Danio rerio: one gene and its partners. The protein of the gene in region 3 purifies or fractionates together with the protein of the main gene of each other region. This does not show direct contact. Links are inferred from orthologs where the notes say so. Each region holds a gene or a part of one and is shown on either strand. Other genes may lie near its edges. The genes, in order: akt1s1, sqstm1 and mtor.

What was found.
Region 1: the proteins of mtor (region 3) and akt1s1 purify together in Homo sapiens (affinity purification with western blotting; 8 studies listed by BioGRID and IntAct, with this or other methods). This does not show direct contact. The link is inferred for Danio rerio from reciprocal best matches to the Homo sapiens genes MTOR and AKT1S1.
Region 2: the proteins of mtor (region 3) and sqstm1 purify together in Homo sapiens (affinity purification with western blotting; 4 studies listed by BioGRID, with this or other methods). This does not show direct contact. The link is inferred for Danio rerio from reciprocal best matches to the Homo sapiens genes MTOR and SQSTM1.

The regions. Positions count from the first base shown.
Region 1 is NC_133178.1:28,981,412-28,985,738, reverse strand, and holds the start of akt1s1 (proline-rich AKT1 substrate 1), read right to left. Parts: upstream 2,908-4,327; 5' UTR 2,803-2,907; intron 1-2,802. UniProt on the Homo sapiens protein: Negative regulator of the mechanistic target of rapamycin complex 1 (mTORC1), an evolutionarily conserved central nutrient sensor that stimulates anabolic reactions and macromolecule biosynthesis to promote cellular biomass generation and growth.
Region 2 is NC_133189.1:19,144,626-19,147,694, reverse strand, and holds the end of sqstm1 (sequestosome-1), read right to left. Parts: exon of another isoform or gene 3,032-3,069; coding exon 2,700-3,031; exon of another isoform or gene 2,621-2,699; coding exon 2,479-2,620; exon of another isoform or gene 2,026-2,478; coding exon 1,945-2,025; exon of another isoform or gene 1,832-1,944; coding exon 1,653-1,831; exon of another isoform or gene 1,601-1,652; intron 1,543-1,600; coding exon 1,344-1,542; intron 1,245-1,343; coding exon 1,084-1,244; 3' UTR 634-1,083; downstream 1-633. Other genes in the region: mrnip (MRN complex-interacting protein), read left to right, coding at 1-480. UniProt on the Homo sapiens protein: Molecular adapter required for selective macroautophagy (aggrephagy) by acting as a bridge between polyubiquitinated proteins and autophagosomes.
Region 3 is NC_133183.1:56,043,836-56,048,156, forward strand, and holds the start of mtor (serine/threonine-protein kinase mTOR), read right to left. Parts: upstream 2,862-4,321; 5' UTR 2,803-2,861; intron 1-2,802. UniProt on the Homo sapiens protein: Serine/threonine protein kinase which is a central regulator of cellular metabolism, growth and survival in response to hormones, growth factors, nutrients, energy and stress signals.

The DNA of each region.
Region 1 (4,327 bases), on a different chromosome or scaffold from region 3:
AGCCAATATTTATGAGGTCCAAGCAACATTTCCAGGTTTTGATAAATAGTTTACTATTTGTTAATACTTTACAGTTAACTACAGCAGTTTTATTTTACTTTAAGAACACTAGCCTACCATCTTCACTTTTAAAAGTACACTTTAAACGTTGACTTTTTATTTATTTATTTTTACCTTTAAGAACAGTAGTGTTAATGTTCAAACTATTTATGAGTTTAAAGTGACTGACATTAATAATGGGAATTAATCTGCCTCGTCATTATGGTGGTACTTGGAGAGAATTTTTTTCTGAGTTGGTACATGATGAAAAAAGTTTGACAACCACTAGTCTATACCATTGTGAATGCATGTTTGCGTCAAAAAATATTGATTTAGCAGTTTGGAACGGGCAAATCTAGAGAACCAATAGACAGCATAAAAAACATTTCTAGTAAACTAGGCATTTGTACTGCAAGATATGATTCGAACGGTATTATAAACTTGGATAAAAATATCATGGTTTGATGGTCTCATGATTACTGCTCTAAAATATATTCTTTTTTTAATGTCTGGGTTAAAAACAAAAACTTTTTCCCCTTTGAACACAATATAATTCATTTTGAGAAACATTTAATGCATTTTCAACAGTAAACATGTCAGGCTAAATAATTCAAATAAATCATTGACTTCTGCTGTCTTCATTTGTTGAAAAAACACTGATTTCTGTAAAATTTAAAACGGCATCTTTGAATATCTTTTCTGCTGGAGATACTGTTGTCCTAAAAAATTGTTTTTTTTTTTAAATATATAAAAAAACAATCTTACACATACTTTAGGAATGATATAGCAGAATATTTTGGCAGTTTTAAAGGCTTGAATTTTTCAAACCATGCCTACTGTATGAGTACGTAAAACATGATGTATAGATTGTATTTTATTATACACTTTCTTGCAGATGGAATTTAAACAGTAAAATAAAAAAATACATCTTTCATGGTCATCCTTAAATAGGTTTATTTAAATTATAAAAAATATTTTGAAATCGTCAAATGTATAATTCACACCCTACATAAAGCCAATACAGGCTTTTGGAAAAAAAGACATTGCAATATTTTATTTACTACAATATATTGTGATATAAATGCAATTTGACCAAATGACTTAAATAGCTTGTGAAAAATTCATAATTTAGGATCAATTTGGGATTGATTGCTGCTGTAGGGGGTGTATTTGCGTAAAATATAGGCATATTTTAAAAATGACAAGCAAAGTTAAAAAAAAAAATTCAAACAAACTATGCTTTATGATTCTGATAGGGAGTCAAACAGTATTCATAAACAGAAATTAAATAATCACTGTATAATAACAACAACCCAACAATGTATCATTTTCATTGAGTAAATAATTATATAATGTACATTTAAGCTACAAATGTTCAATTTATTGTGCCCAAATTACTTAAATTTGCATAAATGATGACAGTCACAGGCCTTAAAACACATGCAAATAATAAGGTTAAAATTTAAAACGACTCCACTATGTTGTTAACTGTAATGTCTGGTCAACTATTATCCCAACTACATTGCAGATCCCTGCGTAGTGACTATTGCGCACTCGCACATTGTGATATTGATGCTGAAATTATATATTGTGTGCAGCCCTACAACCACAATTACTTTCTTTACCATGAATTTGTAGAATGTGGATATTATGAAAATGGGCGGTGGGATGGCACATTGAGTAGCACTGTTGCCTCGCAGCAAGAAGTTGGCATTTCCATGTGGTGTTTGTATGTTCTCCCCGTGTTCACGTATGTTTCCTTCCGCTGCTCTGGTTTCCCCCACAAGTCCAAAGACATGCGCTATAGGTGAATGGGGTAGGTTAAATTGAGTATAAAACATATAAAAAGTGTGTATAGGTGTTTCCCAGTGCAGCTGGAAGGGCATCCGCTGCGTAAAACATGCTAGATAAGTAGGTGGTTCATTCCGCTGTGGTAACCCTCGATTAATAAAGGGACTAAGCCTAAAAGAAAATGAATGAATGAATATTTTGAAACCTATAATGGCATGCCTTTTGATAAATGATGATAATAGTATCTGCTCTTGTTCAGCTTCAGATCTTCATAGCTGAAGTAGCAAAGGTTTTGTATTTGTTAACCATGCTCTGCAACAGGGACATTTCTGAGTGCCCAAAATCATGAACCACCCCCAAGTAAACAGGGACAGCTGCTCCTGCTATAATAAAATGTATATATAAAGTGATATATTTATATGCATATATCGAACTTACATGGGCGAAACAAACATGCACTTTGATTTGTAAGTGCAGATCAACTTGAAAACCTGTTTGGTCATCAAACTCGTCAAGTACTGTTCCTTAAACCCCCACTCAGATTGATAGCTACGCCTCCATTCCCTCACACGTGCAGCACACGTACACGTATGTTTGGGACGTACTCTTGTAAATGAGAATTAGTTTTTGTAAATGGCTAAAAGAAATATTTTCGAGGCCTGTTGTGCAGCGAATCTGTGCGTCTCTCGCATTTTCGGGACAGACTGGCAGCCAGGCTTGATTTCTGCAGCTTTTGTTTGTCACTGTCAGCTTTAATATGCACTTCATCAGCCAGTATTAGTAGCGAAGCAGAGGGTTTATGCACTACAACATGATCTGATTTAGAGCTTGTTGATCAGTTGACTGGTAAGTAGCCAAGTGAAATACACAGGCCAATGGGCTCCAGCATTAGCAGTGCTGCTAAAATGTATTATGCTTCATCAAAACTGCATCGGGTCGATTCGAGAAAAGAACAACGAGAAGTTGACTTACTCTCTTAATATCCTCCCGCCTCTACCACAGTCGTCCTTTTCTTCAAACTTTTACGCCCTCTTTATTCGGAGCTTTCTGCCCGTGCCTGTCTCTCCCCTAGACTCCAGTGCAGCGACGCTCACAGCGCTGTTTACAGTAGGAACGGACCAGGGTTGCCAGATTGCGCAGGAGAAACACGCAAATGCTTTGAAAAACAAGCTCAAAACAACCGACCTATTTTTCATGCCTTCTTTGTGGGGGGTTGATCGATTAGCATAAAAACTCAAAACACCTCAATTTACCAAGCGTTTTCAATGTTTTACAACCATTAACAACAGTTTATGCCAGATCATCATGCAAAGGACTCCAATCCTGAAATAGATTTTTTCACTTATATGTGTACTGTAGAAAACAGTTATTATGAATATGTGTGAAAAGCATTCTCAGTAATGGGTTGCAGCTGGAAGGGAATTCACTGCCCAAAACAATTGCTGGATAAGTTGGTGGTTCATTCCGCTGTGGCGACCCCTGATTAATAAAGGGACTAAATCAAAAAGAAAATGAATGAATGTGTGAAATGCAATTAACATGATACTTAGTTTGACATAGCTTTATGAGATTGTAAAAAAAAACTGCTATTGCAATATTTTTTGCTATATATATATATATATATATATATATATATATATATATATATATATATATATATATATATATATATATATATATATATATATATTTAATATATATGAATTTAATTTCAAAAGATAACTATTTAAAAAACTCACAATTTTACATTGATCTGCATAAAATATACACAATTATACAAAAATACACAAAATAATATCATTTAAAGCACAGATGAAAACAATTGAACAAAGATAAAAAAAAATAATAAACAAAACTGTGGTTTTTGGTGGAGTTATAACAGTATTGAGATATATAAATTTAATAATCAAATGTAAAATAACAGGGTCTTCTGTTTATAAATATATAATTTTTCAATGTTATTGTTATATAATTTATACACGTCTACTATAGACAAATTACCAGTTTGTAAACATTTAGGTTGCAAAACAAAAACCGGGAGCACTAGCATTTACAGCGAGGGAATAACATCCGATGCGGTACAGAGTTTGTTGCTGTTTTAGAGATAAGTTATATTGATTACATTCATTCATTCATTTTCTCTTCAGCTTAGTCCCTTTATTAATGAGCCGCCAACTTATCCAGCAAATGTTCTACTCTGCGGATGCCCTCTTGGCTGCAACCCATCACTGGGAAACATCCAAACATACTAATTCACACACATACATACGGCCAGTTTAGCTTAACCAATTCACCTGTACCGCATGTCTTTTGACTTGTGGGGAAAACCGGAGCACGGGGAGAACATGCAAACTCCACACGGAAATGCCTACTGACCCAGCCGAGGCTCGAACCAGCGACCTTATTGCTGTGAGGAGAACATGCTACCCACTGCGCCACCATGCATCTATATTGATTACATATTATATATTATTTACATAATGCTTTCAGCGTATTA
Region 2 (3,069 bases), on a different chromosome or scaffold from region 3:
ATTGGAAATAAACAGCAGATTAAATCTTCCTATAGGCCTCCAACTGCTGATGTAAACAAACACCTTCCCATCCAGAGCGAAAGCCCCTCTGTTTCTTCTCATCAGACATTTGGTGAATCTACAATTGAGAACAAGGATTCCAAATGGAGTAAATTTCTCACCATCGTCCCCACTCAGGACAAGGATGTGTACGATTATGAATCTCAAAATGGTAAGAAAACTGAGATCCATTATTTCACAAAAGCAGATACTGGTGTGGATTTTGAAGAGCGCCGATGTCCAGCAGATGAAAAGGACAGTGGCATTCTAAACAGACAGAAGGATGTTGGTGGAAATGTATCCTGTCCAACCACCAGCTTCACAAAGTCTGTAGGCTTTGAAAATGCTGTCTGTAAACCCGTACTGGTCAAGGCACCATATTCCAGCTTATCTTTAAACCCACTGTTTTGTACAGATGAAGACTTTGATGACACATTTTAGGTAAGTTTGCTTTCAAGGATGGTTAAAAATGTTAAAAAAGTAATATTTTCCTTAAAATAATAATAAATTGTTAAACTATTAGCATTGATCTACATTTGTATTCATAACTAGTCCTGTACATTTCAAAATACCAAAACACCAAAACACAAGGAATGTTTTAGAGAAGTGTTTTATTGTAGATAGAAAAGACAGGAATTTTAGAAGACCAACAGCGACATTAATCCGATTCCATCTGTTTATTCAAACTAACAAACCCTCCAGGTTTATGCTTGATCTAGAAACTGCTTATTGATTATGCAAACAGAAAATCCATAAAGTGAAGTTGCACAAATATAGATCTCTACTTAACAACCTTTACGTAATATTATGCATACATGAAAATAATGTTCTTTATAATGTCAAGTGTTAAGCTAAAGACAAACATTTTGCATATATAAGCCCAATGATGAACTTAACTATGTACTAGTCACCTGAGTAATTGATATTGTTAATATTTGTGGAAATTTATCATTTTAAAAGTATAGAAAGACTAAGTTAGAAAATAGGCCAGAAGCTTCAAATATTAAGTATGGCCCAGGTCTTCTGTATTCCTGTGCTCCACCTCTACTTCTGTTGTCCTGGTGTTTTGGAGTACTGGATGGTGTCCAGAGCACCACCGATGTCGTAATTCTTGGTGTGGAGCAGTCTGGTTAGCCATCCACCCTCATCGGTGAAACCCATGGAGAGCATCTGAGACAGAGACTCCACCAGCCTAGGGTCTGCATCTGCAGGAGAGCGCAGTAAAGTTAGAATTGCTTCAACTGATATAAAGTGATAGCCTAGAATAGAGAACATCACTGGGCATAAATAATTATACACTTTACCTTGAGGAAGGTGTGGGTAGAGAGCTGCCTCGCGCAGACCAGTGGGACCGTCTCTGGTGCTTGTGCCAGAAGCAGTATTTAGTGGAGCTGGAAGATCTGCCCCGTCCTGCTCTAGTCTAAGAGACTGCAGCTCTCCTGTCGAAGGATCCACCTCTTTAGCACTAAGATGAGTCCATTCCTCATCACTACATTGGTCTTTCTGCCATTTTGAAACAGAGAATGAATAAACGTTAACATGATATGTGGCCTCCTTCTAGGTTGAAAACTTGAGACGATCAGGCCTTTTACAGCTAAGAGGGTATCTGTTACCTTTGTTCCCTCACTGACGCTCTCTTCAGTGGCCTGACTTCCTGGACCAGAGCCTCTAGAAAGAAGCCCCACAGAACCACTGTCACTCCGAGCACTGGATGGTCCACTGGAGGCAGGAGGAGTTGGGGTTACTTTGGTCCGCTTTCCCTCATGCTCAACATCGATGTCCACATCTATGCCTACAAAGGAAAAATCACTTTTATTTCAGAGGTTTTGCCTAACATGCCAATCAAAGAAGTATCAGATTGTGTTGGAACCAAATATTTGGGAAAGACCAAAGCAGGCGACTTACCAAGGGGGCTTAACATGGCTGCCACTTCTTCTCCGATGTTCTTTAGGTACTCCACGTTAGCCTGAGAAGAGGCAGTAGCACCTATAAAATAATAATTAAAAAAAAAGAATAAAGTCAGGAAAATTTTGGACATGCCCCAATTCTGTTCCAGTTCCTCCTGTTACAATAGACCAGGGGTGTAAAACTCAGTTTTTTGAGGGCCACAGCTCTACAAAGTTTAACTTTAACCCTAATTAAACAAACCTGCTTCACACAGGTAAGTGGGCTTGACAAAACTACCTGTAGAAATCACACTCCATCATTTTGACACTTTAACCGACACTTGCATAAGACACATTACAAAAAAACTTTACATTTGAAGTGTGCTTTACACAGGTGAGTGGGATTGACAAACCACCTGTAGAAACACTCTTCTTTCTATAAAAAAACACACAACCTACTCAGTTTCAGGGTTGGAACTAATCTCTGGAGGGACTTCAGCCTCCAGGAGCTGAGTTGACTTCTGCTATAGACCCTTTTAAATGATTGGCTTACCATTCTCATTTGGGTTTTCAGGAGCATCCTGGTTTTGCTGCGCTCCAGATGGACCTGGCTGAGGCTGGTTTTGAGCCTGAGCTTGAGCATTTGCCCACATGCAGTGTCTCATCTTACGCCAAAATTTCCCACGAGGGAGCCACTGCACACAAAAGATTAATCAAACCAAAATATTCAGATCATTTGCAGTGTATTGTATGTAGTAAAATAGTGCTATTCACCTCAAACACGTTGGCCATAGGATGAAAGATGGGCAGGAGGGCATGCTCCTTGTGCAGGCCTTTGCTCTGGCAGGTGGGGCACAAGTCATAATCGGGGCAAACGGTGCACTTGTAACGGGTTCCAGCCACCGGCCCATCACACCCGTCACAGGTCACACCTGGGTGCACCATTGGGTGAGGGTGGTGAGGAGGACCCCCCATATGAGGTGGTCCTGGAGGCCCCATTGGAGATGGACCCATATGACAGGGACCAGGAGGGCTAAAGTGAGGTGTAGTGAACGGAAACCCAGGAATTCCATGAGGAGAAGAATCACGTTTGTGCTCTTTTCGTTCTGAAAAAGAAGGAAATAACATAATTGCTATTAATTGA
Region 3 (4,321 bases):
AAAGCCTGCTTCACAGTATAATTTAGTTAATTCGACAAGAAAATACGGTGAAATCACAGTATGGACTTCACTTTCTACTGTGAAGTTACACTATATGGCTGTAATTTCACAGTAATTTAATGTAACAAAATCACAATTACAGTGAACTGTTTGCAGTTGCTGCAAATTTATTGGATGCACATCCATGATGAGAATCTCCCGTTCCACCACATCCCAAAGGTGCTCTATTGGATTGAATTCTAGTGACTGTGGAGGCCATTTGAGTGCAGTGAGCTCATTGTCATGTTCAAGAAACCAGTCTGAAAAGATTTGCACTTTATGACATGGAGCATTATGCTGCTGGAAGCAACCATCAAAAGATGGGTACACTGTGGTCATAAAGAGATGGACATGGTCAGCAACAAATACTCAGGTAGGCTGTGGCGTTGACATGATGCTCAATTGGTACTGAGTGTGCAAAGAAAATATCCCCCACACCATTACACAATAACCGGCCTAAACCGCTGTTACAAGCAGGCACGTGCACACATAGGGCTCAACCTGTGCAGTGCACATGCCCTTTTCAGTCTTGGATAGAAAGTGCCCTTCCAAAACGATCTAAAGTACCCCAACAACCCCCTTCTCTTCTACCTCGGTTGTAATGAGTGGTTATTTGAGCTACTGTTGCCTTTCTATCAGCTCAAACCAGTCTGGCCATTCTCCTCTGACCTCTGGCATCAACAAGGCATTTGCGCCCACAGAACTGCCGCTCACTGGATATTTTCTCTTTTTCGGACCATTCTCTGTAAACCCTTGAGATGGTTGTGCGTGAAAATCCCAGTAGATCAGCAGTTTCTGAAATACTTAGACCAGCTTGTCTGGCACCGACAACTATGCCACATTCAAAGTCACTTAAATCACCTTTCTTCCCCATTCTGATGCTCGGTTTGAACTGCAGCAGATCATCTTGACCATGTCTACATGCCTAAATGCATTGAGTTGCTCCCATGTGATTGGCTGATTAGAAACTTGCATTAAAGAGCAGCTGGACAGCTGTACCTAATAAAGTGGCCGCTGAGTGTATATTGTTAGCATTGACAGTCATTTAGTTATTATTAATAGTATTTTTTTTTACTTTCTCTCATTTTTAATTTAGTTTTCATATTTTTAATATTAACTTATTTCTGTGCGATTTCTGGACATTATTGTTTTGAACACTTATTATCACCAACCACTGTAACTATACCTTTATTTAGCATCAATGTACATTGCTTTATTACATACATATGACAATTACATATGAAACTTAAATCGAAATATATTGGTAACAATGACATATTCAAGTATAATGGTCAAGACTATTATGTTTAGAGGTCACATTTTTAGCTTTCAAGCATACTTGGATAAATTGGATATATGCCATTGTTACCCATGTAATTAGATTTAATAGAGAACCAATATCATCACTGTCCTTACCGGATTCTAAATTTATATACATGACCTACTGACTCACTAACTTGGGAGCTAGGGAGCAGATTGAGATGCACTATATTTCAACAAATAATACCAAAATCTCATTAAAAGTCAGACTGTCGAAAAGAGGGGAAGTAGGGCTTTTCTGATATTCTATATGGTTTTACTTGTTTGCGATAATGCCACTTTGCAAACCATGACTACTGAGCAAGAGAGCAGACAAGCATTGTCATTAAAGTGAGTTCACTCAAAGATAAAATAGCTGGCATCATAGACTTCCATTCATTTGTTGCAAACCTGTTTGAGTTTCTTTCTTCTGTGGAACGCAAAGAAATACTGAATGCTGTTCTAGAGCTAAAGTTGGTTCTATATTCGCACATTCGTTCATTTAGAAGCCTCTATATTGTTTACCGTGTTACTTTAAATATTCGATCGAAATTAGCAGGCAAGTATGACTTCAAAACAACAGTATCACTATCTAATTGACTTTGAACAAAGTTGTACTTTGATAATCATTGGCTGCTTATATGATTTCCCTATTTAGAATTGGCAAAGAATACTTTTCTGAAATTATACTATTAAGGAGAAAGTCTGAATATCCGAATATGAAACCAACTTTACCTCTATAATGCTGTTGGGACAAAACAGCCATTGACCTACATTATTTCATCATATTTTTTGTTCCCATAATGGATATCAGAACATCTTGTTTAGTGTATTTACTTAAAATTAATGAGAGGAGGTAAAGGGTGAGGAAAAGTTCATTTTGGGGTGAACTATCCCTTTAAGTATCTATAGAATTCTTCACTCGTTTTAATTATTCTGTCCCATTAGACCACACTCTATTAAAAACGCCAAAATAAGGACAGCAGTGTCAGTTATGCTAGTGTCAAATATGCTAACAGTTACAGTAAATCTAATAGGGTTCATTCATAACGTGCAAGGCTCAGATGCTGACCACAAACTCAAAACCATACCAATTTAATGAACATTATTAGCAAATGAATGAGATTAAAATCGTCAGTTGATCTCCAAAATGCATGAAGAATACATAACCTACAACTCCCAAAGCAAATCCTTCTCCCTAGCTTATTTTCACGTACTGTTATCATTATTAAGACATGCTCGGCGGTTTCAAACTCGAATAAAAATTAAATTAAATTAAAATACTTATAGAAATAATAATATGTAACGAAACAAAACAATAACATAACGCATAGCTGTTAGCCAGAGGTGCTATCTGTAGCTATCATTTAGCACTTATGGCTGTTAACAGCTTACGTAATATAAGAATAATAGAACATTACAAACTGTTTTTATGTGAATTTAAAAATAGGCAATATTTCTTACTTGTACAGAGGGTTTTCCGCTAAATGTGTTACACTCGTGAAAACTGCACACTAGAAGGCGGGCACAACGACTGAGTGACGTCGCATCTGCCAATGAACAGCCATAACTGCCCAGTTGAACCAACCGTTTGCTCAGGCGGAATCAGGAAACACACGGAGCGTGAATTCCAATTCACATACAAGCCGTACGTACAAAAATTGCGTAGAGCAATGGTAACAGCATAGAAATACGCAAGAACAGTAAATGTTTGACGCTGCTCACCGATTGACGTTGACAAGTTTGTCTCAATATTTGCTTACAATACAGAGTATAAATTACAATGTTTGTCGATGAAAAAAGATATAAGGATGAGAAAGAAAGAACGAAAAAAAAATAAAGAACATGATACAATCTTGAGGGTAAAACATTTAAGAATATATTACAGTATATAAATTAAAGTCATTACAAAGCAAATTAGTCTTGTTTGCTTTATTATTTTTAGATAATACAATTAAATGTAAATAATGACTAAATTCTTGCAAAAAAAAAAAAAAAAAAAAAAAACAGGAAAATATGGTTTGGTATGAGTAAATTCCAAAACAAATTTGTGTATATAGAATTTAAGCATTTCTTTTAGTAGAGGCAGATTTATAATTACCAAAAATAATTTCTTTAAAATTAACAGAAACGTCTTGCTATATATTATCATTAATAAATGAGCCAATACGTTTTCAAAATTGGACAGCATAATTATAATTCCAAAATAAATGAAAATCAGTTTCAGTATGAAATTGACAAAATGAACATTTTACATCAACAGGGTGCGATAGTATGCTAAAGGACTTTTAGTTTGTCAGTAACCTGGGCTAAGCGCTTTCGGTGAACTGTATCCATTACAAAATGGCGCGTTTAAGGTTTGTTTTCTTTAAAATTCAGCTATCTCCATATATGTGTGGTATCCGATATAAAGTGGGTCTCAGATTGTACAAGAAACACTGCATTAAATTACATTTCCCCCTCCATGTCATTAAAATATGAACATTTATTTTACCCTAGTATATTCAATGGAGCTTCTGCGCTAGCCTGCTGATTCTGACGGGCGCGTGCCAGTTAACGGCTTTTTGTCTGGTTTTACGCTTGAGCAACTAAATGAATGCCAAAGTCTATTTAACTGATTGTATTTTAATTACATTACAACATCGATGCTGTAAAAGCAACCTTATAAAATGTAAAAAAGTCACATTAACCGTTAACCGGAAGTTTATCAGTATGGGAAGAAACACTAGCTTCGCATATACCGTATATGAGAATGAAACTTTTAAAAAATTTGTTTAATAGGATAAAATACTTTGATCTTGTTGTTGAAGAAATATTTTTGTTGCAAAGACCATATTTTTTCTAATTTTGTAATTTCTATCTTTTTTATTAGAAAAACTAATTTTATTTAAAAACATCTCTGTCGAATCAGAAAAGTACGCTTTTTTAAGAGGGAGATGATTGCTATTTTTAAAGGTTCACAAAACCCTCTAGTACTTTTTTT